Linked DNA regions of Anolis sagrei. The protein of the gene in region 4 interacts with the protein of the main gene of each other region in a pairwise test. Links are inferred from orthologs where the notes say so. Each region holds a gene or a part of one and is shown on either strand. Other genes may lie near its edges. The genes, in order: STIP1, CFL1, STAT2 and EGFR.

Region 1 (7,276 bases), on a different chromosome or scaffold from region 4:
AGAAGAGAAGGCTGAGAGGAGATATGATAGCCATGTATAAATATGTGAGAGGAAGCCACAGGGAGGAGGGAGCAAGCTTGTTTTCTGCTTCCTTGGAGACTAGGATGCAGAACAATGGCTTCAAACTACAAGAGAGGAGATTTCATCTGAACATGAGGAAGAACTTCCTGACTGTGAGAGCCGTTCAGCAGTGGAACTCTCTGCCCCGGAGTGTGGTGGATGCTCCTTCTTTGGAAGCTTTTAAGCAGAGGCTGGAGGGCCATCTGTTGGGGGTGCTTTGAATGCAATATTCCTGCTTCTTGGCAGAGGGTTGGACTGGATGGCCCATGAGGTCTCTTCCATCTCTTTGATTCTATGATTCTATCTGTGTGTGAATCATATCTATCTATCTATCTATCTCTATCTATGGCTGGATGGCTCTTTATCAGGAGGACTTTGATTATGTTTTCTTTCCCTGATGAAGGGAGTTGGATTGGATATCCTTAAGTATTTTCTGTGGGTCATGGGGGTTCTGTGTGGAAAGTTTGCCCCAATTCTGTTGTTTGTGAGGTTCAGAATGCTCTTTGATTGTAGGTGAACTGTGAATCCCAGTGACTACAACTCCCAAATGTCAAAATCTATTTCCCCCAAACTCCATCTGTGTTTATATTTGGGCATATTGAGTATTCGTGCCAAGTTTGGTCCAGGTCCATCATTGTCCACACTAGATGTAGGTGAAGTACAACTCCAAAACTCAAGGCCAATGCCCACCAAACCCTTCTAGTGTTTTCTGTTGGTCAAGGGAGTCCTGTGTGCCAAGTTTGGTTCAATTCCACCATTGGTGAAGTTCAGAGTGCTCTTTGATTATAGGTGAACTATAAATCCCAGAAAGTACAACTCCCAAATGACAAAGTCATAGTGTTTTGAGTGATGGTCACTCCTTGTGTTGTGAGACGTTTTGTTGCCAAATTTGGTGTGATTTCATTCATTGGTTCTTTTGTTTTTAAGGAACTTATTAGGCACAAAGCATTGTTATATATAGATATAGATAGATAGATAGATAGATATAGATATAGATAGAAGATATAGATATATAGAAGATACATTATTACATTATATTACATTATAATATTCTCAGTAGAATCAGAGTTGGAAGAGAACCCCATATAGATAGATATAGATAGAAGATATTGATATATAGATATAGATAGATAGTAGATAGATAGATAGAAGATTGTATTACATTATAATATTATCAGTAGAATCAGAGTTGGAAGAGAACCCCATAGAGATAGATAGATATAGATAGAAGATATAGATAGATAGATAGATGGAAGATAAAAGATTGTATTACATTATAATATTATCAGTAGAATCAGAGTTGGAAGAGAACCGCATAGAGATAGATATAGATATAGATAGATAGATAGATAGATAGAAGATAGATAGAAGATAGTATTACATTATAAGAGTTGGAAGAGAACCCCATTTAGATAGATAGATACAGATAGAAGATAGATAGAAGATTGTATTACATTATAATATTATCAGTAGAATCAGAGTTGGAAGAGAACCGCATAGAGATAGATATAGATAGATAGATAGATGATAGATAGATAGATAGAAGATAGTATTACATTATAAGAGTTGGAAGAGAACCCCATTTAGATAGATAGATATAGATAGAAGATAGATAGATAGAAGATTGTATTACATTATAATATTATCAGTAGAATCAGAGTTGGAAGAGAACCCCATATAGATATAGATATAGATAGATATATAGATATAGATAGATATATAGATAGATAGATAGAAGATAGATAGAAGATAGTATTACATTATAAAAGTTGGAAGAGAACCCCATATAGAAAGATATAGATAGAAGATAGATAGATAGAAGATTGTATTACATTATAATATTATCAGTAGAATCAGAGTTGGAAGAGAACCCCATATACATAGACAGATATAGATAGAAGATATAGATATATAGATATAGATAGATAGATAGATATAGATAGATAGAAGATTGTATTACATTATGATATTATCAGTAGAATCAGAGTTGGAAGAGAACCCCATATAGATATATAGATATAGATAGATAGATATAGATAGAAGATAGATAGATAGAAGATTGTATTACATTATAATATTATCAGTAGAATCAGAGTTGGAAAAGAACCCCATATAGATAGATAGATATAGATAGATTGATAGAAGATAGATAGAAGATAGCATTACATTATAAGAGTTGGAAGATAACCCCATTTAGATAGATAGATAGATATAGATAGAAGATAGATAGATAGAAGATAGTATTACATTATAATATTATCAGTAGAATCAGAGTTGGAAGAGAACCCCATATAGATAGAAGATATAGATAGCAGAGAGCAGATATAGATATATATAGATATAGATAGAAGATTGTATTACATTATAATATAATCAGTAGAATCAGAGTTGGAAGAGAACCCCAAAGGGCCATCTAGTCCATCCCCCCTTTTGCAAGGCAGGAAGACACCACCCAAGCCCTCCCGACAGATGGCCATCCAGCCTCCGAGTCAAAACCTCCAGAGGAGGAGACTCCATGTTTTGCATTGAAGTGGATTATTATTATTATTTCATATTCAAAGATCCTCTCAACTCTGGAGGCCCTGCTTTTGACCCCCTTTCTCTCCACCAAGAGGAATCCCCCCTTGAAATCTGACATTCACACGTTCTGTGAAGCTCCCCTCCCAGGCCCACGCTTCCCTTTCCCGCCATGCCTTGCGCGAACCCACTTCCGTTAAGGGGACCCCCTCCGAGCCCCTCCCCCACCCCACGCGGCCTTCCCGAGATCCTTTGCGTCCCCCTCAGGCCCCCTTTCCCCCCTCCACCCGGCTTCCCCGCCACACCAAGCTAGGCCCGACCTTCTCCATCGCGCCGGCCGGACTTCCTCGCTGCCACTTCCCTCACTGAGTCGAGCCGCCTGCTTCTCTTCCCACCCCGCCTTCTGGAACCTGCTAGAACCCTCTAGCCCCGCCCCTCGACGCTCATTGGCTCTTTCCCTTTAACTTGGACACGCCCCTTCTATACACCCAAACGGATTCTATTCCTGTCCGTCTTCCGAAATCCCGCCTTCCTCCTCGGCTCCGCCCACAATTGGCGAGCTAAAATGCGATTGGGTAAATGAGCGGGAAGGGGCGGGACTGAAGACCTGTCCGTCTTCCGAAATCCTGCCTTCCTCCTTGGCTCCGCCCACAATCGGGAGCTAAAACGCCATTGGATCGCTGAGCGTGAAGGGGCGGGGCTGAAGACCTGTCCGTCACTCTTCCTGTCCGTCTTCCAAAATCCTGCCTTCCTCCTCGGCTCCGCCCACAATCGGGGAGCTAAAATGCGATTGGGCCACTGAGCGTGACGCGTCGTGAAGGGGCGGAGCTAAAGACCTCTCCGTCTCCCTTCCTGCCCATCTTCCGAAATCCTGCCTTCCTCCTCGGCTCCGCCCACAATCGGGGAGCTAAAATGCGATTGGGCCACTCAGCGTGAAGGGGCGGAGCTAAAGACCTGTCCGTCTCCCTTCCTGCCCGTCTTCCGAAATCCTGCCTTCCTCCTCGGCTCCGCCCACAATCGGGGAGCTAAAATGCGATTGGGCCACTCAGCGTGAAGGGGCGGAGCTAAGGACCTGTCCGTCTCTCTTCCTCTCCGTCTTCCGAAATTCTGCCTTCCTCCTTGGCTCCGCCCACAATATGGAAGCTAAAATGTGATTGGGCCGCTGAGAGTGACGAAACGTGAAGGGGCGGAGCTAAAGACCTGTCCGTCTTTCTACCTGTCCGTCTTTCGAAATCCTGCCTTCCTCCTCGGCTCCGCCCACAATATGGGAGCTAAAACGCGATTGGGTCACTGAGAGTGAAGGGGCGGAGCTAAAGACCTGTCCGTCTCTCTACCTGTCCGTCTTTCGAAATCCTGCCTTCCTCCTCGGCTCCGCCCACAATCGGGGAGCTAAAATGCGATTGGGCCACTGAGCGTGACGGATCGTGAAGGGGCGGAGCTAAAGACCTATCCGCCTCTCTTCCTGTCCGTCTTCCGAAATCCCGCCTTCCTCCTCGGCTCCGCCCACAATATGGGAGCTAAAACGCGATTGGGTCACTGAGAGTGAAGGGGCGGGGCGTACAAAAAGTAAGGCGGATTTCTCTGCCTTTCCAAGATCCCGCCTCCAGCGTTTCATTGGCCAGCTATAGTGTATTCTAATTGGACGGGAAAGGTGGAGACGTCAGCGGGAGGTGCTCCCATTGGCTGAATTTCCTCCTCATTGTTGTCATTAGCTTGCCGCATTTTTCCAGCAAAGACTTTACTGAATGGGAGAGGGAGAATTATAGAATCCTAGAGTTGGAAGAGACCTCATGGGCCATCCAGTCCAACCCCATTTTGCCAAGAAGCAGGAATATTGCATTCAAATCACCCCTGACAGATGGTCATCCAGCCTCTGTTTAGAAGCTTCCAAAGAAGGAGCCTCCACCACACTCCGGGGCAGAGAGTTCCACTGCTGAACGGCTCTCACGGTCAGGAAACTCTTAAATGATAGAATCCTAGAGTTGGAAGAGACCTCATGGGCCATCCAGTCCAACCCCATTCTGCCAAGAAGCAGGAATATTGCATTCAAATCACCCCTGACAGATGGCCATCCAGCCTCTGTTCAAAAGCTTCCAAAGAAGGAGCCTCCACCACACTCCGGGGCAGAGAGTTCCACTGCTGAACACCTCTCACAGTCATCCAGTCCAACCCCATTCTGCCAAGAAGCAGGAATAATGCATTCAAAGAAGGCTGAGAGGAGATATGATAGCCATGTATAAATACGTGAGAGGAAGTCACAGGGAGGAGGAGGGAGCAAGCTTGTTTTCTGCTTCCTTGGAGACTAGGACGCGGAACAATGGCTTCAAACTACAAGAGAGGAGATTTCATCTGAACATGAGGAAGAACTTCCTGACTGTGAGAGCCGTTCAGCAGTGGAACTCTCTGCCCCGGAGTGTGGTGGAGGCTCCTTCTTTGGAAGCTTTTAAGCAGAGGCTGGATGGCCATTTGTCAGGGGTGATTTGAATGCAATATTCCTGCTTCTTGGCAGAATGGGGTTGGACTGAATGGCCCATGAGGTCTCTTCCAACTCTATGATTCTATGATTCTATGAAAGCACCCCTGACAGATGGCCATCCAGCCTCTGTTTCAAAGCTTCCAAAGAAGGAGCCTCCACCACACTCTGGGGCAGAGAGTTCAACTGCTGAACGGCTCTCACAGTCATGGGCCATCCAGTCCAACCCCATTCTGCCAAGAAGCAGGAATATTGCATTTAAAGCTCCCGTGACAGATGGCCATCCAGCCTCTGTTTAAAAACCTCCAAAGAAGGAGCCTCCACCACACTCTGGGGCAGAGAGTTCCACTGCTGAACGGCTCTCACAGTCAGGAAGTTCTTCCTCATGTTCAGATGGAATCTCCTCTCTTGTAGTTTGAAGCCATTGTTCCATTGCGTCCTAGTCTCCAAGGAAGCAGAAAACAAGCTTGCTCCCTCCTCCCTGTGACTTCCTCTCAAATATTTATTTATTACTAGCCGTTTCCTGCCACGCATTGCTGTGGCCCAGTTTGATGATCTGGAAAATAAAATAATGAGAAAGTGTTGGTTTCTAATATATGTAATTTCTTTCTGCTTGTGGGTAAACAGTATTTCTTGCTGTTTCTTTGTCAGTGTTGATGTGGAGAGTGTCTGGATTGCCCACCCTGGAACATACAACATATCATTGTCCTTCTTTAAGGATCCCTTTCAAATCTATGATACTATATCTCTGTGTGTGTGAATCATATACATCTATCTATATCTCTACCTGGATGGCTCTTTGTCAGGAGGGCTTTGATTATGTTTTCTTGCCCTGATGAAGGGAGTTGGACTGGATGGCCTTAAGTATTTTCTGTTGGTCATGGGGGTTCTGCATGGGAAGTTTGCCCCAATTCTGTCATTGGCGGGGTTCAGAATGCTCTTTAATTGTAGGTGAACTATAAATCCCAGTACAGCCCTCAGTGGCACAGTGGGTTAAAGCACTGAGCTGCTGAGCTTGTTGATCGAAAGGTCACAGGTTCGATTCCGGGGAGCAGCGTGAGCTTCCGCTGTCAGCCCTAGCTTCAGCCAACCTAGCAGTTCGAAAACATGCAAAATGTGAGTAGATCAATAGGTACCGCTCCTGCTGGAAGGTAACGGCACTCCACGCAGTCATGCCAGCCACATGACCTTGGAGGTGTCTACAGACAACGCCGGCTCTTCGGCTTCGAAATGGAGATGAGCACCACCCCCAGAGTCAGACATGACTGGACTTAATGTCAGGGGACAACCTTTACCTTTACTAACTACAACTCCCAAATGTATAAATGTATAAATATGTGAGAGGAAGCCACAGGGAAGAGGGAGCAAGCTTGTTTTCTGCTTCCTTGGAGACTAGGACGCGGAACAATGGCTTCAAACTACAAGAGAGGAGATTCCATCTGAACATTAGGAAGAACTTCCTGACTGTGAGAGCCGTTCAGCAGTGGAACTCTCTGCCCCGGAGTGTGGTGGAGGCTCCTTCTTTGGAAGCTTTTAAGCAGAGGCTGGATGGCCATCTGTCAGGGGTGATTTGAATGCAATATTCCTGCTTCTTGGCAGGGGGTTGGACTGGATGGCCCATGAGGTCTCTTCCAACTGTTTGATTCTATGATTCTATGTCAAGGTCTATTTCCCCCAAACTCCATCTGTGTTCATATTTGGGCATATGGAATATTCGTGGCAAGTTTGGTCCATACGGAATGTTGGTGGACAGGAAAAGAGATTGAAAGATGGGCTCAAAGCCAACCTTTAAAACTCTGGCATCAACACTGAGAACTGGGAAGCCCTGGCCCTTGAGTGCTCCAGCTGGAGGTCAGCTGTGACCAGCAGTGCTGCAGAATTTGAAGAGGCACGAATGGAGGGCGAAAGAGAGAAACGTACCAGGAGGAAGGCGTGTCAAGCCAACCCCAACCGAGACAGCCTTCCACCTGGAAACCAATGACCTCACTGTGGGGGAAGATGCAGGTCAAGAAAAGGGCTCCACAGCCACCTACGGATCCACAAGAATACTAATCATGGAAGACTATCCTACTCGTCCAATGAGGCATCCCCTAAGTAAGTAACAGGAGAAAAAAAATCCCAAATTCCACTTGGGTCAAGGCCCAAGTGGAATATTTGGCTTTTTGGCTTGGATATGAAACTGTAGGACAGGCAGTCATCAGCCATAAGAACGCTGAATGTTTTAAT
Region 2 (7,706 bases), on a different chromosome or scaffold from region 4:
CTCTCAATTATTTTAAGTTGAAAAATGAAGACATTGTGTGCCAAGTTCGGTCCAGATCTATCAAGCCACAGAGAGGAACCTTTGAGGTACAAATAAACATACATAATAGATAGATAGATAGATGGATGGATGGATGGATGGATGGAGGGATCCGCTTCTTGCTATGCAGGGCAATAAAGATTATTATTATTATTTGAAACACAACAAGATGAGTCCACAGCAAACAAAATCACTCTGATGGCTGAATTTATTATTATTATTATTATTATTATTATTATTAATATAATATAATTTATTATTATTATTATTATTAGTATTCAGCTCTAGTTAAAGCAGGTGGGTGATGGTTTATGCCACTAAACAAGGCAGGATTAAGGCAGTACTCCACAAAGGAACAATAACGCTCTCCCCCTCTTTCTTAAAGCCTATTCCTCCAAAATTGCCTAAAATGGACATATACATGTATTAAAGCCTATTCTGTCACACTCTGGTTCTTTTATGCAGAGAGAGAGAGAATCCCTGGCGCGTTCTATTTCTAAAGGCAACGTTTTCCCCAGATTTTCTTCTTCCCAATCAAATAGAAGAAAAACCACTAAACAAATGCACTTTTTTGTGTGTGTGCCTTCGGTGGGAGGCTAATGTTGCTCATTGTAATGCTGCCAAGTTATTTGATGGTCGGAGTCCTGATTTCCATCACAAACACACATAACCTTTTGCAAAGGTTTTGCATAGTCGGAGCCAGACAAAGTGACATTTTATGGCCAGATAGAGACCCAGATCAGTCTGATCTCTTTGCAAGACGAAGGAAATTTCGTTGGAATTATAATCAATCTCTTCCCATTTCCAGGCAAACCTTATATTCACCTCTGAGGATGCCTGCCAGAGATGTGGGCAAAACGTCAGGAGAGAATGCTTCTGGAACATGGCCATACAGCACAGAAAACTCACAGCAACCCAAACCATCTATCAACACATAATAAAAAGTTAAAATATGTGTGGCTGGGGTGTCCACTTGCACAGACAAGCTCCCACTTCCACAAACAGCTATAGCTCCCACTACTCAGGAGACACCAATGGCCCTCCTCCCAATGATATTGCAGTTATAGAGAACACCATAAACATATCCAAGAGCCCTGCCAATGTCCTCCACAAACACAATACTGCTCACCAACCAAGTAAAGGCTTTCATGTGGGGACAATTCCATCCTAGATTTCATGTGTTTCCTCCACCACAGACATCCCAGTGTTTCTTACTCTCTCCATTGGTGTGGAATTTGTACGACCCCGCCCATTGCCTCTCCCTTAACCCTTTCCTATTCTTTTCTATGGCACACAGCATACAGAGGAACTGATCAGCAACTGAAGACACTACAGAGGTTTGGGGAGCATTCACCATGATTTATAAGTGTAGGTACTGGGATGTATAGTTCACCTGCAATCTTTTTGGCATTGCAGAGGGATTGGCTGGTGACTTCTGGAAGAGCACTTTGGTTTTCTCGATGTTCAGTGACAGGCCGAGCTTCTCGTATGCTCCTGCAAAAGTGTTTAGAGTGGCTTGTAGGTCTTCTGAATGCACACAGCCTACATTGTCATCAGCATACTGGAGTTCTATGACAGATGTTGTAGAGTGGCCTGTAGGTTTTCTTCTGAATGCGCATAGACTATGTTATCATCGGCATATTGGAGTCCTATAACTTGTTGTGACCTTGCTTTTGGCTTTCAGTCTGCTGAAGTTACCAAGGTGCTTGTTTATAAAGCTATTGTCCTCCCAACCCTGCTGTTTGCCTGCGAAACGTGGACTGTCTACAGATGTCACATGCAACTCCTGGAATGATTCCATCAGCGCTGCCTCCGGAAAATCCTGCAACTCTCTTGGGAAGACAAGCAGACAAATGTCAGCGCGCTGGAAGAAAGAAAGACCGCCAGCACTGAAGTGAGGACAATAGCTTTATAAGCAAGCACCTTGGTCCCCCTATGGATGTCCCGGTCCTCAAACACTCTCTGCTTCATTCGGAAAAATGCTGCACTCACAGAGCTCAGGCGGTGTTGTATTTCGGTGTCAATGTTGACTTTGGTGGAGAGGTGGCTGCCAAGGGAGCGGAAATGGTCAACATTTTCTAATGTTACACCATGAAGCCGTATCTCTGGCATTGGAGAGGGATTGGCTGGTGACTGCTGGAAGAGCACTTTGGTTTTCTCGATGTTCAATGACACTGAAATACACCACCGCCTGAGCTCTGCAAGTACAGCATTTTTCCGAATGAAGCAGAGAGTGTTTGAGGACCGGGACATCCGTAGGGATACCAAGGGTCTTGTTTACAAAGCTATTGTCCTCCCAACCCTGCTGTATGCCTGTGAAACGTGGACAGTCTACAGACATCACATCAGCGCTGTAAATCTCTTGGGAAGACAAGCAGGCAAATGTCAGCATGCTGGAAGAATGAAATACCACCAGCAATGAAGTGAGGACAATAGCTTTATAAACAAGCACCTTGGTCGCCCTACGGATGTCCCGGTCCTCAAACACTCTCTGCTTCTATTGTCTATTGTCTTCTATTATATATTGTCCTCCCAACCCTACTGTATGCCTGCGAAACGTGGACAGTCTACAGATGTCGCATGCAACTCCTGGAACGATTCCATCAGGCATAGACTACGTTGTCATCGGCATATTGGAGTTCTATAATAGATGTTGCTGTGGCCTCTCCTGGGATGTAACATGACTCCGGTGGTTATGCCCGCAGGTTCATTGGAACATGGTGATGACAATCCATCGAGTAGTGGTTTGTTGTTGTTCATACGTTCAGTCATCTCTGACTCTTCGTGACCTCATGGACCAGCCCACGCCAGAGCTCCCTGTCGGCCGTCACCACCCCCAACTCCTTCAAGGTCAGTCCAGTCACTTCAAGGATGCCATCCATCCATCTTGCCCTTGGTCGGCCCCTCTTCCTTTTGCCTTCCACTTTCCCCAGCATAATTGTCTTCTCTAGGCTTTCCTGTCTCCTCATGATGTGGCCAAAGTACTTCAACTTTGTCTCTAGTCTCCTTCCCTCCAGTGAGCAGTCGGGCTTTATTTCCTGGAGGATGGACTGGTTGGATCTTCTCGCAGTCCAAGGCACTCTCAGCACTTTCCTCCAACACCACAGCTCAAAAGCATCGATCTTCCTTCGCTCAGCCTTCCCTAAGGTCCAGCTCTCACATCCGTAGGTGACTACAGGGAAGACCATTGCTCTCCTCCCAAGAAGTAAGTGTCTCCTGATATCCTGGCCACAGTCTGCATCTGCAGTCATCTTTGCACCTAGAAATACAAAGTCTGTCACGGCCTCCACGTTTTCTCCCTCTATTTCCCAGTTGTCAATCATTCTTGTGGCCATAATCTTGGTTCTTTTGATGATTAGCTGCAACCCGGCTTTTGCGCTTTCTTCTTTCACCTTGATTAGAAGGCTCCTCAGCTCCTCCTCGCTTTCGGCCATCAGAGTGGTGTCATCTGCATATCCGAGGTTGTTAATGTTTCTTCCAGCAATTTTCACCCCAGCTTTGCATTCATCCAGCCCTGCACATCCTCGCATGATGTGTTCTGCATACAAGTTAAAAAGGTTGGGTGAGAGGATGCAGCCTTGCCGGACGCCTTTCCCAATCTTGAACCAGTCTGTTGTTCCGTGGTCAGTTCTGACTGTTGCTCCTTGGTCCTTGTACAGATTCCTCAGGAGAGAGGGAAGGGGGCTTGGGATGCCCATCCCACCAAGAACTTGCCACAATTTATGATGATCCACACAGTCAAAGGCTTTAGCAGAAATAGATGTTTTTCTGAAACTCCCTGCCTTTCTCCATTCTCCAGCATCTGGATATTGGCATCTGGTCTCTGGTTCCTCTGCCTTTTCTAAACCCAGCTTGAACATCTGGCAACTCTCGCTCCATGTCTTGCTGGAGTCTTCTTCCTTGCAGGATCTTGAGCATTCCCTTACTGGCATGAGAAATAAGGGCCACTGTACGGAAGTTTGAGCAGTCTTTCGCATTTCCCTTTTTTGGTATGGGGATATAAGTTGATTTTTTCCAGTCTGATGGCCATTCTTGTGTTTTCCATATTTGCTGGCATATGGCATGCATCACCTTGACAGCATCCTCTTTTAAGATTTTAAACAGTTCAGCTGGGATCCCGTCGTCTCCTGCTGCCTTGTTAGCAATGCTTCTTAAGGCCCATTCCACCTCACTCCTCAGGATGTCTGGTTCTAATTCATTCACCACACCGTCAAAACTATCCTCGATATTATTATCCTTCCTATACAGATCTTCTGTATATTGTATATATATAATATATATACAGATCCTTCCTATACAGAACATGGCCCTATAGCCCGAAAAAACCCAAAAGAACTGAGTAATTCCAGCCATGAAAGCCTTCGACAATACAATGATGATATTATTATTACAATCCATACATAGTATGGTAGGGAATGGCCTCTACCATAACTCAAGGCAGGCCTCAAAACCTGGCTGAAGAGGCAGGCCTGCTTTTGGGGGAGAGAGAGAGAGAGACTCTTTTTCCCCCCGCCCTTCCGTCTCCATGGCAACCTCTGCCTGAGATGCCGGCCTGGCACCAGCAGGGGAAAGGAGGCGGGCGAGGGAGGACTCGCTTTCCCGTGATGCCCCGCGCCGCAAGTCGGAAGCGGCTCCTCCTCGGCGAGGCGCCTTAAAGCGGAAGCGCGGAGCCGGGCGGGGCAGCAGTTCCTTTTCGGGCCTCGCTTGACGCGCAGACGGGCTCGGAGCCGCCGCCGAGGAAGACGCAGGAGCCCCCTTCGCCGCCGGAGCCACCCCCAAGGCCCAGAGCAGCCTCCAGCACCCGCCGACAGTTCCTCGCCCAGCCTGCTTGACTTCCAGCGCCATGGTAAGGCTTGCGGCTCCTCCTCGCCGCCCCCCTGCCTCGCCGCCCGGCCGCCATCTTGTCACCCGGCCGCCATTTTGTGGGGGACTCGTGGGGGATGGAGCCTCGGGAAGGCCGCCTTTGGCGCCCCCTCACGCCCCCGCCACTGAGAAGCCACGCTCCCCCTCTTCTGGGCCTATAAGGGTCCCTGCTGAAGCCCAGCCCCTCTTGAGTTGCTCTAGAAGCACTCTCTTCTGACATTTCGCCCACGTCTATGGCAGGCATCCTCTGAGGTTGTGGGGTCTGTTGGAAACCTGCCATTGAGAAGCTTTGCTCCCCCTCTTCTGGGCCTGTGAGGGTCCCTGCTGAAGCCCAGCCCCTCTTGAGTTGCTCCAGAAGCACTCTCTTCTGACATTTCGCCCACGTCTATGGGAGGCATCCTCTGAGGTTGTGGGGCCTGTTGGAAACCTGCCATTGAGAAGCTTTGCTTCCCCTCTTCTGGGCCTGTGAGGGTTCCTGCTGAAGCCCAGTCCCTCTTGGGTTGCTCCAGAAGCACTCTCTCCTGACGTTTCGCCCACGTCTATGGCAGGCATCCTCTGAGGTTGTGGGGTCTGTTGGAAACTAGGCAGGTGAGGTTCCATATATCTGGAAATGCTGGGCCACTCTTGACAACAAAGAAAAGCCATTAATCTCCATGTGGACAGTGTCAACAGAAAGGAGGAAATGATGGAAATGAGCAAAATTTGGCAACTTCATTAACAAAAGAATAACACCAAAAACAAAACAGCAGATTTTCAGACAGGAAACGATCCTTGGTCAGCTTGATTAGCATTGAATAGCCTTGCAGCTTCCAAGCCTGGCTGCTTCCTGCCTTAGGGAATCCTGTGGTGGGAGGGTACCAGTATTTCAAAAAAACCCTCTCAAACTAAGGCCCGGGGGCCAGATATGGCCCTCTAAAGTCACCTTCTTTGGAAGCTTTTAAACAGAGGCTGGATGGCCATCTGTCGGGGCCGCTTTGAATGCAATATTCCTGCTTCTTGGCAGAATGGGGTTGGACTGGATGGCCCACGAGGTCTCTTCCAACTCTAGGATTCCATGATTCAACTATATGATTCTGTGATACCCGGCCCTCACTCAGGGTGAATCTAAGTCTGAAATGGCTTGAAAGCACACAACAACAACAATCCTATTGTCGAAGGCTTTCATGGCCTCGGAGGTTGTGGGGTCTGTTGGAAGCTAGGCAAGTGGGGTTGATATATCTGTGGAATAATGTCCAGGGTGCGAGAAAGAACTCTTGTCTGCTGGAGGCAAGTGTGGCCAGCTTGATTACCATTTGACAGCCTTGTAGCTCAAAAGCCTGGCTGCTTGAGGCAAGTGTGAATCTTGTAATTGGCCAGCTTGATAGCCTTGCAGCTCAAAAGCCTGTCTGCTTCCTGCCAAGGGGAATCCTCTGTTTTGGAGGTGTTAGCTGGCCCCGATTGTTTAACATCTGGAGAAAGAACTCTTGTCTGTTTGAGGTAGGTGTGAATGTTCCAGTTGTTGTTCATTCGTCCAGTCGTCTCCGACTCTTCGTGACCTCATGGACCAGCCCACGCCAGAGCTCCCTGTCGGCCGTCACCACCCCCAGCCGTGTCGTGGCGCTGGAGCTTGAGCACCTCAATGATGTCATGAGCGAAACCGTGAAGGGCCACCCAAGACGGGACGGTCATGGCAGAGAGGTCAGACCAAGCGTGATCCCTGGGGAAGGCAATGGCAAACCACCCCAGTATCCTTGCCAAGAAAACTATATGTTCCAGTTAGCCACCTTGATTAGCATTTAATGGCCTAGCAGTGTTAAAGGTCTGGCTTTTACTGCCTGGGGGAATCCTTTGTTGGGATAGTAAGAAGCCAGATCTTCCAAACTGCTAGGCCATTAAATGCTAATCAAGGCAGCCAATTGGAACATTCACACCCACCTCCAACAGACAAGAGTTCTTTCTCCCACCTTAGACAGGAAACACTGGACAACTCTTGACAACCAGACTACAAAGAGAAGCCATTAATCTCCATGTGGACAAGTGTCAACAGAAAGGAGGAAATGATAAAAACGAACAAAATTAGGCATCTTGTATTAAAACAACGTCATTAACAAAAGAATAACACCAAAAATAAAACAAAACTGAGGATTTCCAGTCAGGAAACGATCAGGGCCATGGGTCAGCTTGATTAGCATTGAATAGCCTTGCAGCTTCAAAGCCTGGCTGCTTCCTGCCTTAGGGAATCCTGTGGTGGGAGGGTACCAATATTTCAAAAAAACCCTCTCAAACTAAGGCCCGGGGGGGGGGGGGCAGATATGGCCCTCTAAAGTCACCTTCTTTGGAAACTTTTAAACAGAGGCTGGATGGCCATCTGTCGGGACCGCTTTGAATGCAATATTCCTGCTTCTTAGTAGGGGGTTGGACTGGATGGCCCACGAGGTCTCTTCCAACTATATGATTCTATGATTCAACTATATGATTCTATGATACCCGGCCCTCACTCAGGTCAATCTAAGTCTGAAATTGCTTGAAAGCACACAACAACAACAATCCTATTGTCGGAAGGCTTTCATGGCCGAAATCACTGGGTTGTTGTAGGTTTTTTCGGGTTGTATGGCCATTGTCTAGAGGCATTCTCTCCTGACATTTTGCCTGCATCTGTGGCAAGCATCCTCAGAGATAGTGAGGTCTGTTGGAGTTTTAAAAAATGGTTTATATATCTGTGGAATGACCAGGGTGAGACAAAGGACTCTTGTCTGCTGGAACTAGGTGTGAATGTTTCAACTGACCACCTTGATTAGCATACAATGGCCTGACAGCGAGGTCTC
Region 3 (7,666 bases), on a different chromosome or scaffold from region 4:
CTCAGTTCTGCAGACAGAGTTGAAAAGAGTGGGAAAGGGTTTTTATGTGTATCAGGAGTGACTTGAGAAACTGCAAGTTGCTTAACCAATTCTTTGTGAGAGAATTGGTTAAGGGAGAAAGAGGCAGTGGATGGGATCATGCAAATTCCACACCAATGGAGAGAGTAAGAAACACTGGGATGTTTGCAGCGGAGGAAACATATAAAATCTAGGATGAAATTGTCCCTGTATGGAAGCATTCCTTGGATGGTGGGCCATAGTGTTTAGGAAGGGCATGGTACTCGCTATAACCTGAAATGTCATTGGACGGAGTGCTTTTGGTGGTTCCTCAACACTGTGGGTTATAGCTGTCTGTGGAAGCGGGAACCTGTGTGTGGAAGTGGGCACCCCAGCCACATACACGCATACATATTTTCACTTTTATCATGTGGATAGATAGATAGATGGATAGATAGATGGATGGACAGACAGACAGATAGAAAGAACACAGTTTTTGTTCCTTGGTTATAAATATTGTTTCCTAATTGGTTTTATCATAAAAACATGGGAAAAGTTTATTAAAACATTTGTTTTTGTGGGACATCTTGCAGCACATTTTGTTATAGCTTTTCCAGTTAATATTCTCATAGAGTCTTAACTCATTCAACCTAGTTTGTGGCTGCCACAAAAATGAAGTTTCTAGAGTATAACAACTACTTTCAAAGCAAGTACTGTACAATTAAACAAGAAATAACACTTTCAAACCAGGAACAGATGTTTTTTTCAAATTTTGTTACATAGTTTTATTGTTTCATTCTTATTTATAAGCAGGAAATGCTCAGACACATCTACGCTAGCCATTTAATGCTGCTTCAAACCAGTATTGAAAAAAATGGTTTTGCTGTATAGATCAGGCCTGGGCAAACTTCAGCCTTCCAGGTATTTTGGACTTCAATTTTTAGGAATTGTGGGAGTTGAAGTCCAAAACACCAGGTGGGCCGATGTTTTCCATACCTGGTGTAGATGATTACACAGAAAATCCTGAAACCAGATGGCGGCCAAGATGGTAATTACACAAATCACAGAGTAATGATGCATATTAAGAACTTTCTTTCACACACCATGTTGTATGGTTTCTGGGCTGTATGACCGTGTTTTAGCAGCATTTTCTCCTGATGTTTTGCCTACATCTGTGGTTGGCATCTTCAAAGGATCACACACTTTTGTAGGAGTTTATCTGGCTGCTAGAGTTTGAAGTTAGCTTTGAACTGCATTAAATGGGCTATGTAGATGTGACCTCAGTAACCCTCATTCATGGGAATTGCTAGATACTGGAAATATTATCATTTCTGGTTGCTTGAGAGTTACTATTAAAAATAAGCCTTACTAATGTTATGCCCATAATACACCACACCATAGATTCTGCATTGACTTGATATTAATATTGAAATACAGTAATTAAAAGCAAATTGAGTCCAATTAAAACAAATTTAATGTAACAGTTTTACTGTGTTACAAAAACAGCTTTGTGGATGCTGTATTCTTTTTCTATTCTTTTTTGCTCCTTAGTAGACTAGTGGTTGCTTCAGTTTCAGTTAACTGAGGCCCCTTCTACACAGCTGTATAAAATCCAAATTATCTGCTTTGAATTTGTAGTGTAAACTCAGATAACCCGGTTCAAATCAGATCATGTGGATTATCTGCCTTGATATTCTGGATTATCTGGCAGTGTAGAAGGGTTCCTGTGAGTTTTCTGGGCTGTATGGCCATGTTACAGAAGCCTTCTCTCCTGACATTTCACCCACATCTATGGCAGGCATCCTCAGAGGTTGTGAGGTGTGTTGGAAACTAGGAAAATCGGGTTTATATATCTTGGAATGTCCAGGGTGGGAGAAATAACTCCTGTCTGCAAGAGATACATGTGAATGTTGCAATTGGCCATCTTGATTAGCATTTAATAGCCTTGCAGCTTCAAAGCTTGACTGCTTCCTGCCTGGAGGCATCCTTTGTTGGGAGGTGTTAGCTGGCCCTGATTGTAGAAGGGCCCTGAGAGTCTACTGTATTTTGAAATTGGATAACAATTTTAGTAAGGAGACACTGCTGATTACATTTTTATGGCTTTGTACGGTTTTTATATTATATCTTAAATGCTTTAATTTTATAATTGTTTTAACTGTATCTTTACAATTGTTGAGGCACTGAATTGTTGCCAGCTGTGAACCGTCTTGAGTCACCTCCGGGCTGAGAAAGGTGGTATACAAATGTGGTAAATAAATAAATTTTATGGATGCTGTGTTTGGATTTCAACTCCCAGAAATCCCAGCCATCTTACTGGCTTTGCATCTCATTGCCTTCCAAGCTGCCCAGTCTTCTGTGTGCCCGGGGTGGAGTCTCTCATTCATGGCTTGAAGTTCTGGGTTTTTGCCTGCCACTCCTGGACTCTTGCTTGCTGAGGTGTTCCTGCGAGTATCTCTGATCTTAGAAAACTAATTCTTGATTTTGACTCAGATTATCCAGTTCAAAGCAGATCATGTGAATAATATGCCTTGGTATTCTGGATTATCTGGCAGTGGAGAAGGGCCCTGAGAGTCTACTGTATTTTGAAAGAGGCCCTGAAGTTGTCTCCAAAAGATTGAACTACAACTCCCAGGATTCCATTGATTGAGCCATGGCAGTTAAAACAGTATCTTTACCAGCTGTTTGGAATTCTGGGAGTTGAAGTCCAAAACATGTGGAGGGCCGAAGTTTGCTCATGTCTGATGCTTTAAGGGGTTGTTTGATCTTTCCTTGAGCTCCCTTAAGTTATGTAAGCATTCCTCCGAGATGTTTGCGACTTTGGATGATGCAAACACCTCATCCAGATCCCTATGTCTCACTCCAGTAGGAGCCAGCAGACCTCCCCGCCCACCCGCGCCAAGCCCACCTTGCGCGCGCACCCACCTGGACCGCTCTCTGCAGGGCCGGCGCGCTCCCTTCCTTCGAAGTCTATGGAGCGAAAACAGAAGCAGGAAAGCGAATGCCCCGCCCACTCTCCTCCCGATTGGTCAAGGCGCCGGAGCCCCGCCCAGGCGCGGAGGGAGTAGCGCCCGGGAAGGGAAGAGCCGGCTCTGGCGGCTGTAGATTTCGATTTCCCAGGAATGACGTCAGCGCCGTGGGCGGAGCCTGGCTTGACCCATGACTATTCAAATCCTGGGCAGGTTTGGAAAGGGTTGGCAGTGTTTATGCCCCGTTTAATGCAGTTTGAAGCTCTATTCTATGCTCAGTGTAGATTCCTGTACAGCATTTCAACTCCTTTTTTTTTGGAGTTTCCCTCCACAGTTTTCAAAACCCAAACTCTACTGGGTTGCTGTGAGTTATTCAGGGCTGTATGGCCATGTTCCAGAAGCATTCTCTCCTGACGTTTCGCCCACAGGCATCCTCAGAGGTTGGAAACTAGGCAAATGAGGTGTATATATCTGTGGAATAATGTCCAGAGTGGGAGAAAGAACTCTTGTTTGCTTGAGGCAAGTGTGAATGTTGAAATTGGCCACCTTGATTAGCATTGAAGGCCCTTGCAGCTTCAAAGCCTGGCTGATTGCTGCCTGGGGGTGATTTTGATGTCAAACATGAGATTTAAGGGGGGGGGGTCCTACTGAGGCAAGGCCCAGCCAGACCCACCAAAGAGGGCCCAAACACTTGGCGAGACAAGAATACCCAAATAGAATTTTTCACTATTTTTCCCAAATAAATCTCACTAAGTTGAAGAAGAAGCCACCGAGTTGTTTATTTCATTCCAGCTGGAGTGGATGTCAAACTGCAATCATTCACCAAAGTCGACATAACTCACAAGGGGAAATATTACAGTTTTTATGGGAAATACAGAGCTGTCAAATTCAAATTTCTCACTCCCACCCCCCTTGCTGGCTTCTCACTGATTGGCTGGAGTCATCAGCTGGCTGGGAGGTGTGGCTGGCTTAGCTGCGCCTTGTCCAATCATAGAGCCAGCGCCGCTTCGGCCTCTTGGCCAATGGGAAGAGAGGAGGCAGGCCAGGTGGGAAACAATGAATGAAGAGGAAAGGTGATAAGATTAAAATTATTAACGATTGTCTAAGCGGTCAGTGATTGCCTTCTTTAGCCCTCAAGCTGGCCAGGCTATTGTTTTGATGCTCTGGAAGATACATTTTCATCTGGCTCAGAGACCAGATCTTTTGTTGTCCTTCCATCCGGGATAAGAGTCCATTGATGGGATTTATGACTGGTATCAGCCAGCTGGGTCCTCACAATGAAAAAGAGGCAGTGGGGAGCCTGGATCCTCCACAGATAGGACAGCACCCTTTGTGTTGGTGGATCAAGATGGTCTTATCTCCAGATGGACTAGCCTTTTGCCCTCTGAGATCTGGTTGATAAGAACCATTTGTTTTATTGTCCATGCAAATGGGTTTTGATCGAGTCCTTTGTGTTGGAACAAACCGGCCCAGGATTTTGAGAAATGCTTCCTGGAGCCATGGGGTGCTGGATTCTTGAAAAGGGTGGCTCTCTTCTATTTTTGAAAAATATAGACATATACACACATATAATGGTATGGGAAGGGAACATACAAGGAGTTTATGGGGGATAAATCACATAAAGGCAAATAGAAATCATGTCAGCCCTCCCTCCAAAATCCATCAAAAGTTCACAAAGAGAGGTTAAGATAATAAGAATTCATAGGGGCTTTGGCCAGAGAGTTCCTAAAAAGTTCTAAAGTTCTTCAAAAGTTAATAAAAGTTCTAAAAAGTCCATGAAAGTTGAGAGAACTTCATAGGGAGCCTTGGAAAGTTCATAAAAGTCCATGGGGAGCATATTGGAATCACTGTGAGCGCTGAGAGCTGGAATCCATTCTTTGATGAGAAGAAAACTACGAATCCAATTTTGTCTAAGGACCAGGATGGCCTGTCAGGAATACGGGGGTCCCAAGGGGTGACCACAGCAGGTTCTTTGGGTTTGGTCAGCTTCTGGACACATGTGAGATGGAGGCACAGACGTTGTTGTAACATGGAGCCATAGATCAGAACCAACTGGTCTCCACGTCTGGTTTTGAGGTGAAAATGAATATTCCCAGGGCGCAGGGGTCCATAATGCAAAAAGCGAGATAGCAATTAGTCTTAGAACTAGTCTAGGAAGAAATTGGCACCGGTTTGGAATGGATCCGTTGACCCACATATATGGGGGCCCAATAGATTTCCGTATCGGCAGTTCAGAGGAACGCAGTTTCAGCCTCCCCGGGACGCTGTAAGAGCACCCTGGGTGAGCCAGCAGTAATCAGAGGCTCAGGAAGGAAAAGGTTAATGTTAGATAGTGTTAGAAGCAGTAAAGAGACACAATGTATCACTATGGAGAGGAAAAATTGCAATCAAAAGATACTTTTATTTGGGGATTTGTTACAATGTTAGGGGAAGGGGGGAAAGAAAGCAGAAAAATGACTCAGTTGGAGCTGCTGCTGTGGCCACAGTCCCCACGATACTGGCTCACCTGGATGTCCTGGAACTGTGGAACTCCCTGCTGCAGTTCAAATCAGCTTGAACGCAGGGGCCTGTGCATTTGTCAGTCTCAATTTCAGTTCTATCTTTTAAAAAACCCAATAAAAATCAGACTTCAACGTTGAGAAGTATAAGCCAAAAGCAGACTTCTCTTTCTGTAAACTAATATGTTTTGTATTACTTCCCTTTTAAAGCCAAAAATCCCATAACAGGGCCTGCTGCAAATGCCCATCCTTGATCTAAATCTTAGGCCTCAAAGCAACAATGGTGAAGTTATATATCAATTAAATTTAAAAAGAATTCAGTTAGGATCAAACTGTGTGCAAAATAATCCCAGTCACTATGCACAGTGGCCCCACTCAGCTATCCCAGCACTTAGTTGTAATCTGATAGCTGCTTTGCACGCACTCAGTCCTCAGTAGGCTATTTCTGAGACATTCAATTCTACCCACAAATACACTCCTTTAGACATTTTTCACTCTTGTCTTTGCACTTCTGTAAACCTCTTCAGTAGAGATGGCACTCCTTGCCACAACCAAGGCACTTACGTCCTGTTACTGGAGAGTTACTGCTTTTTATCTATTTGCTTAAAGTGATGGCGAAAACAGAGACTCCTGCCTTCAAATTGATCTGACCGCAGCAGGGAGTTCCACAGTTCCTGAGAGTATGAGTTCTCAGGTATCTGCAGGACAGTGTCACCAGCAACAGCTTCAACAAAGAACTCTCTCTCTCCCCCTCTGTTAACCTACCTTAGCCTCTTTGTAACAATTCCCCAATAAAAAGTATCATTTTCTCCAACCTTTCCCTCTATGAAGTAATACATTGTCTCCTTTACTGACTCTAGCTTTGCTCCAACCATGAACTTTCCCGCTCCCAAGCCGCAGAACTCCGTTGGCTCAGCTGGGATGCTCCAGCAGTGTCCCAGGGAGCCCAGAACTGCGTTCCTTTAAACTGCGGATATGGGGGCCCACATGGTCTTGGTATCCGTGGGTTAACCGATCCACTCCAAATCGGCGCCATCTTCCTCCCTGATGAATTATAATACTAATTACCATCTTACTTTCTGCTGAATGGACCCTTGGACCCCCAGATCCATTCTTCTTGCCCAAACCCCCCATGTGGGAACCTAAGACTTTTTCCGTGGTGCCATTGTCTCACATGGCAATGATGTTCGTGTACCCTTTTCTTTCTTGTGCATGTAGCCTTGACATGGTGCCCCATGGTGCCTGCTGACCCTGGAAAGCCCCTTGTGTGTCACCCTGTGACCCTGGCCAGCATCAGGCCAATTTGGCTGTTTTTATTAATTGGACTCCTTTTTTATGAACTTCTGTTTTATTAATGGACTTTGGCTGCTCAGCGCTTGTATGGACAATGTACCATCTTGAATGGCTCTGGGTGGCCAAGGCGGATCTTCCCTTGACCCTACAGGTTCCCCCTTTCCATATGAACTCTGTATATGCCCCATATTCCCATTTATGATATGTATGTATGTCTATATAAAATATTAAGCAAGATGACCTCTTCATAAAGTGTGCCCAGCACCTCAGGATCCAGGTGTTGCAATACTTCCTGGGTCATCATTCCTAAACAATGGACTCTGCAGAAACTCATCAGCATGGACAATAAGTAAATAGCCCCTTTTCCTTGGGCTTTGGAGGGTCTCTTTGACCAGACTACCTAAGGTATGGGGCTCATGGACATGGTAATCACTTGACACAAAAAACATTTCCCCAACCAAGAGGAAAAGGAGTTATTGCCAGATTTCCCACAAAGCCATCCCCCCATTCCAAGAAAAGGATCCAAGATCTTATTGAAAAAGTTAATATTGTTGGACCTTATGACAATTGGCTGGCTCTTCGGGGCCAGACTAGGATGTTGTTTCAGACTTTTGTCAATAGTCAGGATCAGGACTGGAGGGCTGAAAGCCATCTTTCCTGATCACTTATCATCAAGGTCCAGGGAGGACCATTCATAATCCAATCACTTAACCATTTCTTCATTGTTTCCCCTGCTGCCTGCCTCCTTCTCACTTATCAGCTGAGCGGCCAATGCGGGGCTCGTGCTCTGATTGGAGGAGCCGCATCCTTCCCTGGCTGCTCCTCCTGGATCACTGACATTGCGACTAATCACAGTGGAGTTGGCTCGGGGGAGGCGGGGGGAAGGCATGGAAAATCTGAATCTGACAGCTC
Region 4 (7,267 bases):
TTATATGTATATGTGATACATAGATGTTTGATACTGGTTTCCCTTACTTTTTTCCCCCTCCTCCCTCTTTCACCCCTATTCTTCACTTCCTACTTTTGTTTTAAACCATGTTCACCTACTTTCAGTGTAATAGAAACCAGCTATTGCAGTCATGTCAATGACTTTTTATCTTTGATTAATGTGTGTGTTTATATGTATATGTATATAAATATTATTTATTTGCTACATTTATATACCGCCCCTCCCAGCCTGCAGGAGGCTCAGTGCAGTATGTGTATGTATATATATATATCTATATAAATAAAAATGAAATGTTCGTTTGTGGGATTAACAGAACTCAAAAACCACTGGATGAATTGACACCAAATTTGGACACAAGACATCTAACAACCCAATGTAGGTATGTCCGTCACTCAAAAAATGATTTTGTCATTTGGGAGTTGTAGTTGCTGGGATTTATAGTTCACCTACAATCAAAGAGCATTCTGAACCCCACCAATGATAGAAATGGGCCAAACCTCCCCCACAGAACCCCCATCAGGGCCCCAGCAGCACGTGGCAGGAACAGCTAGTATATATATATATATATATATATACACACACACACACACACACATACACACTAGCCATCCCCTGCCATGCGTTTCTGTGGCCCAGTCTGTGTATATGTGTTTTGTATGTGTGTATATATGTGTTTAAGTGTGTGTATATATTTGTATATATATGTGTGTGTTTGTATATATATGTGTGTGTGTGTGTGTGTGTGTTTATGTGTACATCCATATTGTGTGTATGTGTGTGCTTGTATGTGTATATGTGTGTGCATGTGTATATGTGTACATATAGTGTATTTTTTGAGTTTTTAAGTCTGTTCCACTGGGGTTTTGTGTGTGTGTGTGTTTAGGGGTGATGGACACTCGTTGGACTGTTAGGTGTACCGTGTCCAAATGTGGTGTCAATTTGACTAGTGGTTTTTGAGTTATGCTAACCCCACAAACGAACATTACATTTATATATATATATATGTGTGTGTGTGTGTGTGTCAAAATTTTGTCTATGTCCATGTCATTCACCAATAAAAATGGATTGCAAAAACCAAAAAAACTATGCATCGGTGATGTGCTGTTTGGAAAGATTTGAAATGCTATATTATTATACTACACTAGTGGCCCCCCTGCCACGCGTTGCTGTGGCCCAGTCTGTTGATCTGGAAAATAAAGTAATGAGAAAGTGTTGGTTTCTAATACATGTAGTTTCTTTATGCTTGTGGGTAAACAGTATTTCTTGCTGTTTCTTTGTTGATGTGTTGATGTAGAGATTGTCTAGTTTGCTACTCTGGAGCATGCAATTTATAAATGTCCTTCTTTAGGGGTCCCTTTCAAATCTATGATACTATATCTCTGTGTGAGTGAATCATATCTATCTATCTATCTATCTATCTATCTACATCTATGGCTAGATGACTCTATTTCCCCCAAACTCCACCAGTGTTCACATTTGGGCATATTGAGTATTTGTGTAGAGTTTGGTCCTGATCCATCATTGTTTGAGTCCACAGTGATCTCTGGATGTAGGTGAACTACAACTCCAAAACCACTGCCCACCAAACCCTTGCAGTATTTTCTGTTGGTCATGGGAGAACTGTGTGCCAAGTTTGGTTCAATTCCATTGTTGATGGGGTTCAGAATATTCTTTGATTGTAAGTGAACTATAAATCCCAACAACTACAACTCCCAAATGACAAAATCGGGTTTTTTTTGTTTTTTTTTAGTGATGATCACTCCTTTGGTTGTTAGGAGTATGCTGTCCAAATTTGGTGTCAATTCGTCCAGTGTTTTTTTGAGTTCTGTTAATCCCACAAACGAATATTACATTTTTATTTATATAGATTATTATTATTATTATTATCATCATCATGATGCCATGTAACCATTTCCTAGTACCTTTTTAACGGAATGACCACTCAGGGCCCTTCCAGACATTTTTATTTATATAGATGTCAACATTTTGTCTATGCCCATGTCATTCACCAATAAAAATGAATTGCAAAAACAAAAAAACTATGTGATGCGCTGTTTGGAAAGATCCGAAATGCTATATTATTATATGACATTCTGTATTACTTTGCAAGTTAAGTCTTGATGGGCTGGCTCCCCTTCTGGATTCTAACTGAGAAATCACTCCTTAGCATAACGAAATCAAATGCTACCCCTAATCATATTATATACGAGGGTTAAAACTACAAAACAAAACTATTGCACAACCTGGATGCAGGCATGGGCAAACTGTGGCCCTCCAGGTGTTTTGGACTTCAACTCCCACCATTCCTAACAGCCTCAGGCCCTTTCCTTTTCCCCCTCAGCCGCTTAAGCTTAAGCGGCTGAGGGGGAAAAGGAAGGGGCCTGAGGCTGTTAGGAATGGTGGGAGTTGAAGTCCAAAACACCTGGAGGGCCACAGTTTGCCCATGCCTGCCTGTCAGAAGGGCCATGCCTCTGAGTCGTCTCCCCGGCCTCTCTCTGCTCAAGCGCCCGCCCTTTCCCGGCCTCACTTTCCCCTCAGGCGCGCTTTCCTCACCTCGCTTCTCGTCCGCGGCGGCCAGAGCCAGGAGCAGGAGCGGGAGGGCCCCACAGGACAACCATAGCGAGCCCATCTCCGCCAAGTAGGAAGGAAAGAAGGAAGGAAGGAAGGAGGAAGGAAGGCGCTTGCCTCGCCTCAGCCGCGCTGCTCGCCCTGCCGAGGACTGTTGCAATGTGAGGATGACAACTCCAAGGGGGGAGGAGGGAGGGAGTGAGTGAGGAGGAGAGGAGCCCCCCGCTCCGCCTCTCGCCGGGTCCTCCTCCTTCTCTCTTCAACTCCCAGGAAAACTTTTCTCCTTTTGCGCGCGCGAGGCTGAGGGTCTCCCTCTGCTCTCCCTCTGGTCCGCCACTGGCCTCAATACCTGAGCCCGCCCAGGCGGGGCCTGCTGCTACCTGAAGGGACGGGCCAGAAATTCCAGTCAGGCAAGCTAGGCGAGGCTGAGGCGAGGCAAAGGCTGCTGAAGCGAGCAGCGCGCGCGCACTGCGCAGGCGCGTTCCCTCCCGCGCGCCTCCCGCGTGCAGCATTCGCTCCTTTAGGGTTGCTCGCCCGCCAAGTTTATTTACTTTCTGTTTTGTTCACTTGCAAGGAAGTCGTCTCTGGTTGCTTCTGGATCGAGAGAATCGGCCGTCTACGAAGACGTTGCCCAGGGGACGCCCGGATGTCTTGCAATCCTGCGAGGAGGCTTCTCTCAAGGACCAAGGCAGAGATATCTCCAGCTCATCCCTTGTTTGGGTATCAGCCAGCACATCAACGACTTATAGAATCATAGAATCAAAGAGTTGGAAGAGACCTCATGGGCCATCCAGTCCAACCCCCTGCCAAGAAGCAGGAATATTGCATTCAAATCACCCCTGACAGATGGACATCCAGCCTCTGCTTAAAAGCTTCCAAAGAAGGAGCCTCCACCACACTCCGGGGCAGAGAGTTCCACTGCTGAACAGCTCTCACAGTCAGGAAGTTCTTCCTAATGTTCAGATGGAATCTCCTCTCTTGTAGTTTGAAGCCATTGTTCCGCGTCCTAGTCTCCAAGGAAGCAGAAAACAAGCTTGCTCCCTCCTCCCTGTGGCTTCCTCTCACATATTTATACATGGCTATCATATCTCCTCTCAGCCTTCTCTTCTTCAGGCTAAACATGCCCAGTTCCCTAAGCCGTTCCTCATAGGGCTTGTTCTCCAGACCCTTGATCATTTTAGTCGCCCTCCTCTGGACACATTCCAGCTTGTCAATATCTCTCTTGAATTGTGGTGCCCAGAATTGGACACAATATTCCAGATGTGGTCTAACCAAAGCAGAATAGAGGGGTAGCATTACTTCCTTAGATCTAGACACTATGCTCCTATTGATGCAGGCCAAAATCCCTTAAATCAAGACATAGTTTTCTTAGATCTACAGAGACACTCACTGGAACACCCCAGCAAGCGAGAGTCCAAAAGTGGCAGGCCCAAACCCAGCACCTCAATTCATGGGTGATACCAGATGAGAGACTCCCCCCTGGGCACACAGAAGACTGGGCGACTTGGAAGGCGCTGAACAGACTGCGCTCTGGCACCACGAGATGCAGAGCCAACCTTCAGAAATGGGGCTACAGGGTGGAATCCTTGGCATGCGTGTGCGGAGAAGAACAAACCACTGACCACCTGCTGCAATGCACCCTGAGCCCTGCCACATGCACAATGGAGGACCTTCTTGCGGCAACCCCAGAGGCACTCCAAGTGGCCAGATACTGGTCAAAGGACATTTAACCAAATACCAAATTTGCAAAATCTGTGTGTTTTTTTTCCTTTTTCTTTTTAATCTGTGTGTTTGTTTTGCTCTGTTAGAATTGTAATACAATGGTTGCTGATGACACGATAAATCAGGGGTCCTCAAACTAAGGCCCGGGGGCCGAATGCGGCCCTCCAAGGTCATTTACCCGGCCCTCGCTTAGGGTCAACCTAAGTTTGTAACGACTTGAAAGCACAGAACAACAACAACAATCCTATCTCATCAGTCAAAAGCAGGCCCACACTTCCCATTAAAATACTAATAAATTTATATTTGTTAAAATTGTACTTCATTTTAATTATTGTATTGCATTTAAGTGTTTTTGCACTACAAATAAGATATGTGCAGTATGCATAGGAATTCATTCATGTTTTTTTTCAAATTATAATCCGGCCCTCCAACAGTTTGAGGGACTGTGACATGGCCCTCTGTTTAAAAAGTTTGTGGACCCCTGCCATAGGGATCCAGCTCCAAACAGTAGGGGTTTGGAATCCTCCCCCCTTTACACTTCTTACATGGAATATTGTGTCCAATTCTGGGCACCACAATTGAAAGGAGATATTGACAAGCTGGAATGTGTCCAGAGGAGGGCGACTAAAATGATCAAGGGTCTGGAGAACAAGCCCTTTGAGGAGTGGCTGGGCATGTTTAGCCTGAAGAAGAATCATAGAATCAAAGAGTTGGAGGAGACCTCATGGGCCATCCAGTCCAACCCCCTACCAAGAAACAGGAATATTGCATTCAAATCACCCCTGACAGATGGCCATCCAGCCTCTGTTTAAAAGTTTCCAAAGAAGGAGCCTCCACCACACTCCGGGGCAGAGAGTTCCACTGCTGAACAGCGCTCACACTCAGGAAGTTCTTCCTCATGTTCAGATGGAATCTCCTTTCTTGTAGTTTGAAGCCATTGTTCCGCGCCCTAGTCTCCGCGCCCTAGCAGAAAACAAGCTTGCTCCCTCCTCCCTGTGGCTTCCTCAGGGTAAAAGTATGATAGCTGGATCTGGAAGGCGGGGGGGGGGGAGCTTGCCCCCCCCCCCGAAATTCTCATGGTGGTCCGTGAGAAGGCCTTACTGGTGCATTATTTAAACTGTTACGTTTATTCATATCATGATCTGATCACCATACTCAATATATCCCATATGCATGGGGGTATTGGGGTAACAATACAAAAGGTTTGCTAGGGTAGACCCTCTTTCACTCAGACTCGCCCCCCCCAAATCAAACTTAGCCCCCCCCCCCCCCCAAATCAAAATCCTGGCTATGGGCCTGGTTACGCTGTTTTCGCTTTGCTCCTCAGGAGTGCTATTTGCACAACGCAGAATAATAATAATAATAATAATAATAATAATAATAATAATAATACTTTATTTGTACCCCGCTACCATCTCCCCTGTAAAGGTCCATTGGTTGTTTTGCTTGCTTGCTTGCATGCTGCAAGTCGCTTCTGGTTGCCTCTGGAGCGAGAGAATCGGCCGTCTACGAAGACATTGCCCAGGGGACGCCCGGATGTCTTACAATCCTGCGAGGAGGCTTCTCTCATGTCCCCTATCAACCAATGGCTGATACCAAATGAGAGACTCTCCCCTGGGCACACAGAAGACTGGGCGACTTGGAAGGCGCTGAACAGACTGCGCTCTGGCACCACGAGATGCAGAGCCAACCTTAAGAAATGGGGCTACAAAGTGGAATCCTCGACATGCGAGTGTGGAGAGGAGCAAACCACTGACCACCTGCTGCAACGCAACCTGAGCCCTGCCACATGCACAATGGAGGACCTTTTTGCAGCAACACCAGAAACACTCCAAGTGGCCAGATACTGGTCAAAGGACATTTAATCAACTACCAAACTCACAAATTTTGTATTTTGTCTGTTTGTTTGTTCTGTTAGAAATGTAATATAATTGACTGGTTGCCCTGACACGACAAATAAATAATTTAGGAAGGGGTATTTTGATTTCTCAGCCAGAGAGTTCCTCTAGTGCCTCACCGAACCACAAATTCTGGAAATCCCTAGAATGCAATTGTGGCAGTTAAAGGGGAATTGCAGAGCTATAATTCTACAGTCTGAGCACTCACAGTAAGAAAAAGAGTCTGAAAGGAGAATCAAAAGGGTCAATTTTCTTTAGAAAGCTTGAGCATTTTTTTTCAAAGCCACATCAGTAGCTGAAATTGAATCTATGACACAGATCAAGGTGTAGTAATGGTAGGACCAAAATGATCTGGGTCTTCGAGCAAATCTATGAGAAGGGTCACAATGCTGTGGTTTTTACGTTTATTTAAAAGAGCGTAAGGGGAACATGCAAGAGTGGCCTTTGAGCATACACAGTGTAGAGGAGGTAGACAGAGGTGCCTCCCTCTTTTACAGCATTTGAACTGAAGGTCTTTCAGTAACTCTGAATTGTGGGCACTTCTGGACAGACCAGATGAAATACTTAATTAATCAATGGCCATCCGCCCAAAAGGACTCAAAAGGGATTTGATGGTGAATAAGACTGTCTATGTATGGGGATGAAAGAATACTTCTAAATATTAAATTCTGGGAAATATGAATTTTCACTCTGTAGACCTCCCTAGGCTGAGCGAAGGAAGATAGATGTTTTTGAACTGTGGTGCTGAAGGAAAGTTCTGAGAGTGCCTTGGACAGCGAGAAGATCCAACCAGTCCATACTTCAAGAAATAAAGCCTGACTGTTCATTGGAGGGAAGGATAGTAGAGGCCAAGATGAAGTACTTTGGCCACATCATGTGAAGAAAGGAAAGCTTAGAGAAGACAATGATGCTGGGGAAAATTGAAGGAAAAAGGAAGAGGGGTCGACCAAGGGCAAAATGGATGGATGGTATCCTTGAAGTGACTGGATTGACCTTGAAGGAGCTGGGGGTGGTGACGACCGACAGGGAGCTCTGGTGTGGACTGGTCCATGAAGTCA

The links.
Region 1: the proteins of EGFR (region 4) and STIP1 interact in binary tests that used the Homo sapiens proteins (3 or more experiments, as listed by UniProt). The link is inferred for Anolis sagrei from reciprocal best matches to the Homo sapiens genes EGFR and STIP1.
Region 2: the proteins of EGFR (region 4) and CFL1 interact in binary tests that used the Homo sapiens proteins (3 or more experiments, as listed by UniProt). The link is inferred for Anolis sagrei from reciprocal best matches to the Homo sapiens genes EGFR and CFL1.
Region 3: the proteins of EGFR (region 4) and STAT2 interact in a protein complementation assay, tested with the Homo sapiens proteins (3 studies listed by BioGRID and IntAct, with this or other methods). The link is inferred for Anolis sagrei from reciprocal best matches to the Homo sapiens genes EGFR and STAT2.

The regions. Positions count from the first base shown.
Region 1 is NC_090032.1:15,948,061-15,955,336, reverse strand, and holds the start of STIP1 (stress-induced-phosphoprotein 1), read right to left. Parts: upstream 3,012-7,276; 5' UTR 2,907-3,011; coding exon 2,898-2,906; intron 1-2,897. UniProt on the Homo sapiens protein: Acts as a co-chaperone for HSP90AA1. Mediates the association of the molecular chaperones HSPA8/HSC70 and HSP90.
Region 2 is NC_090032.1:9,213,831-9,221,536, reverse strand, and holds the start of CFL1 (cofilin-1), read left to right. Parts: upstream 1-4,703; 5' UTR 4,704-4,882; coding exon 4,883-4,885; intron 4,886-7,706.
Region 3 is NC_090022.1:138,706,603-138,714,268, forward strand, and holds the start of STAT2 (signal transducer and activator of transcription 2), read right to left. Parts: upstream 3,018-7,666; 5' UTR 2,920-3,017; intron 1-2,919. UniProt on the Homo sapiens protein: Signal transducer and activator of transcription that mediates signaling by type I interferons (IFN-alpha and IFN-beta).
Region 4 is NC_090026.1:66,070,520-66,077,786, reverse strand, and holds the start of EGFR (epidermal growth factor receptor), read right to left. Parts: upstream 3,022-7,267; 5' UTR 2,651-3,021; coding exon 2,575-2,650; intron 1-2,574. UniProt on the Homo sapiens protein: Receptor tyrosine kinase binding ligands of the EGF family and activating several signaling cascades to convert extracellular cues into appropriate cellular responses.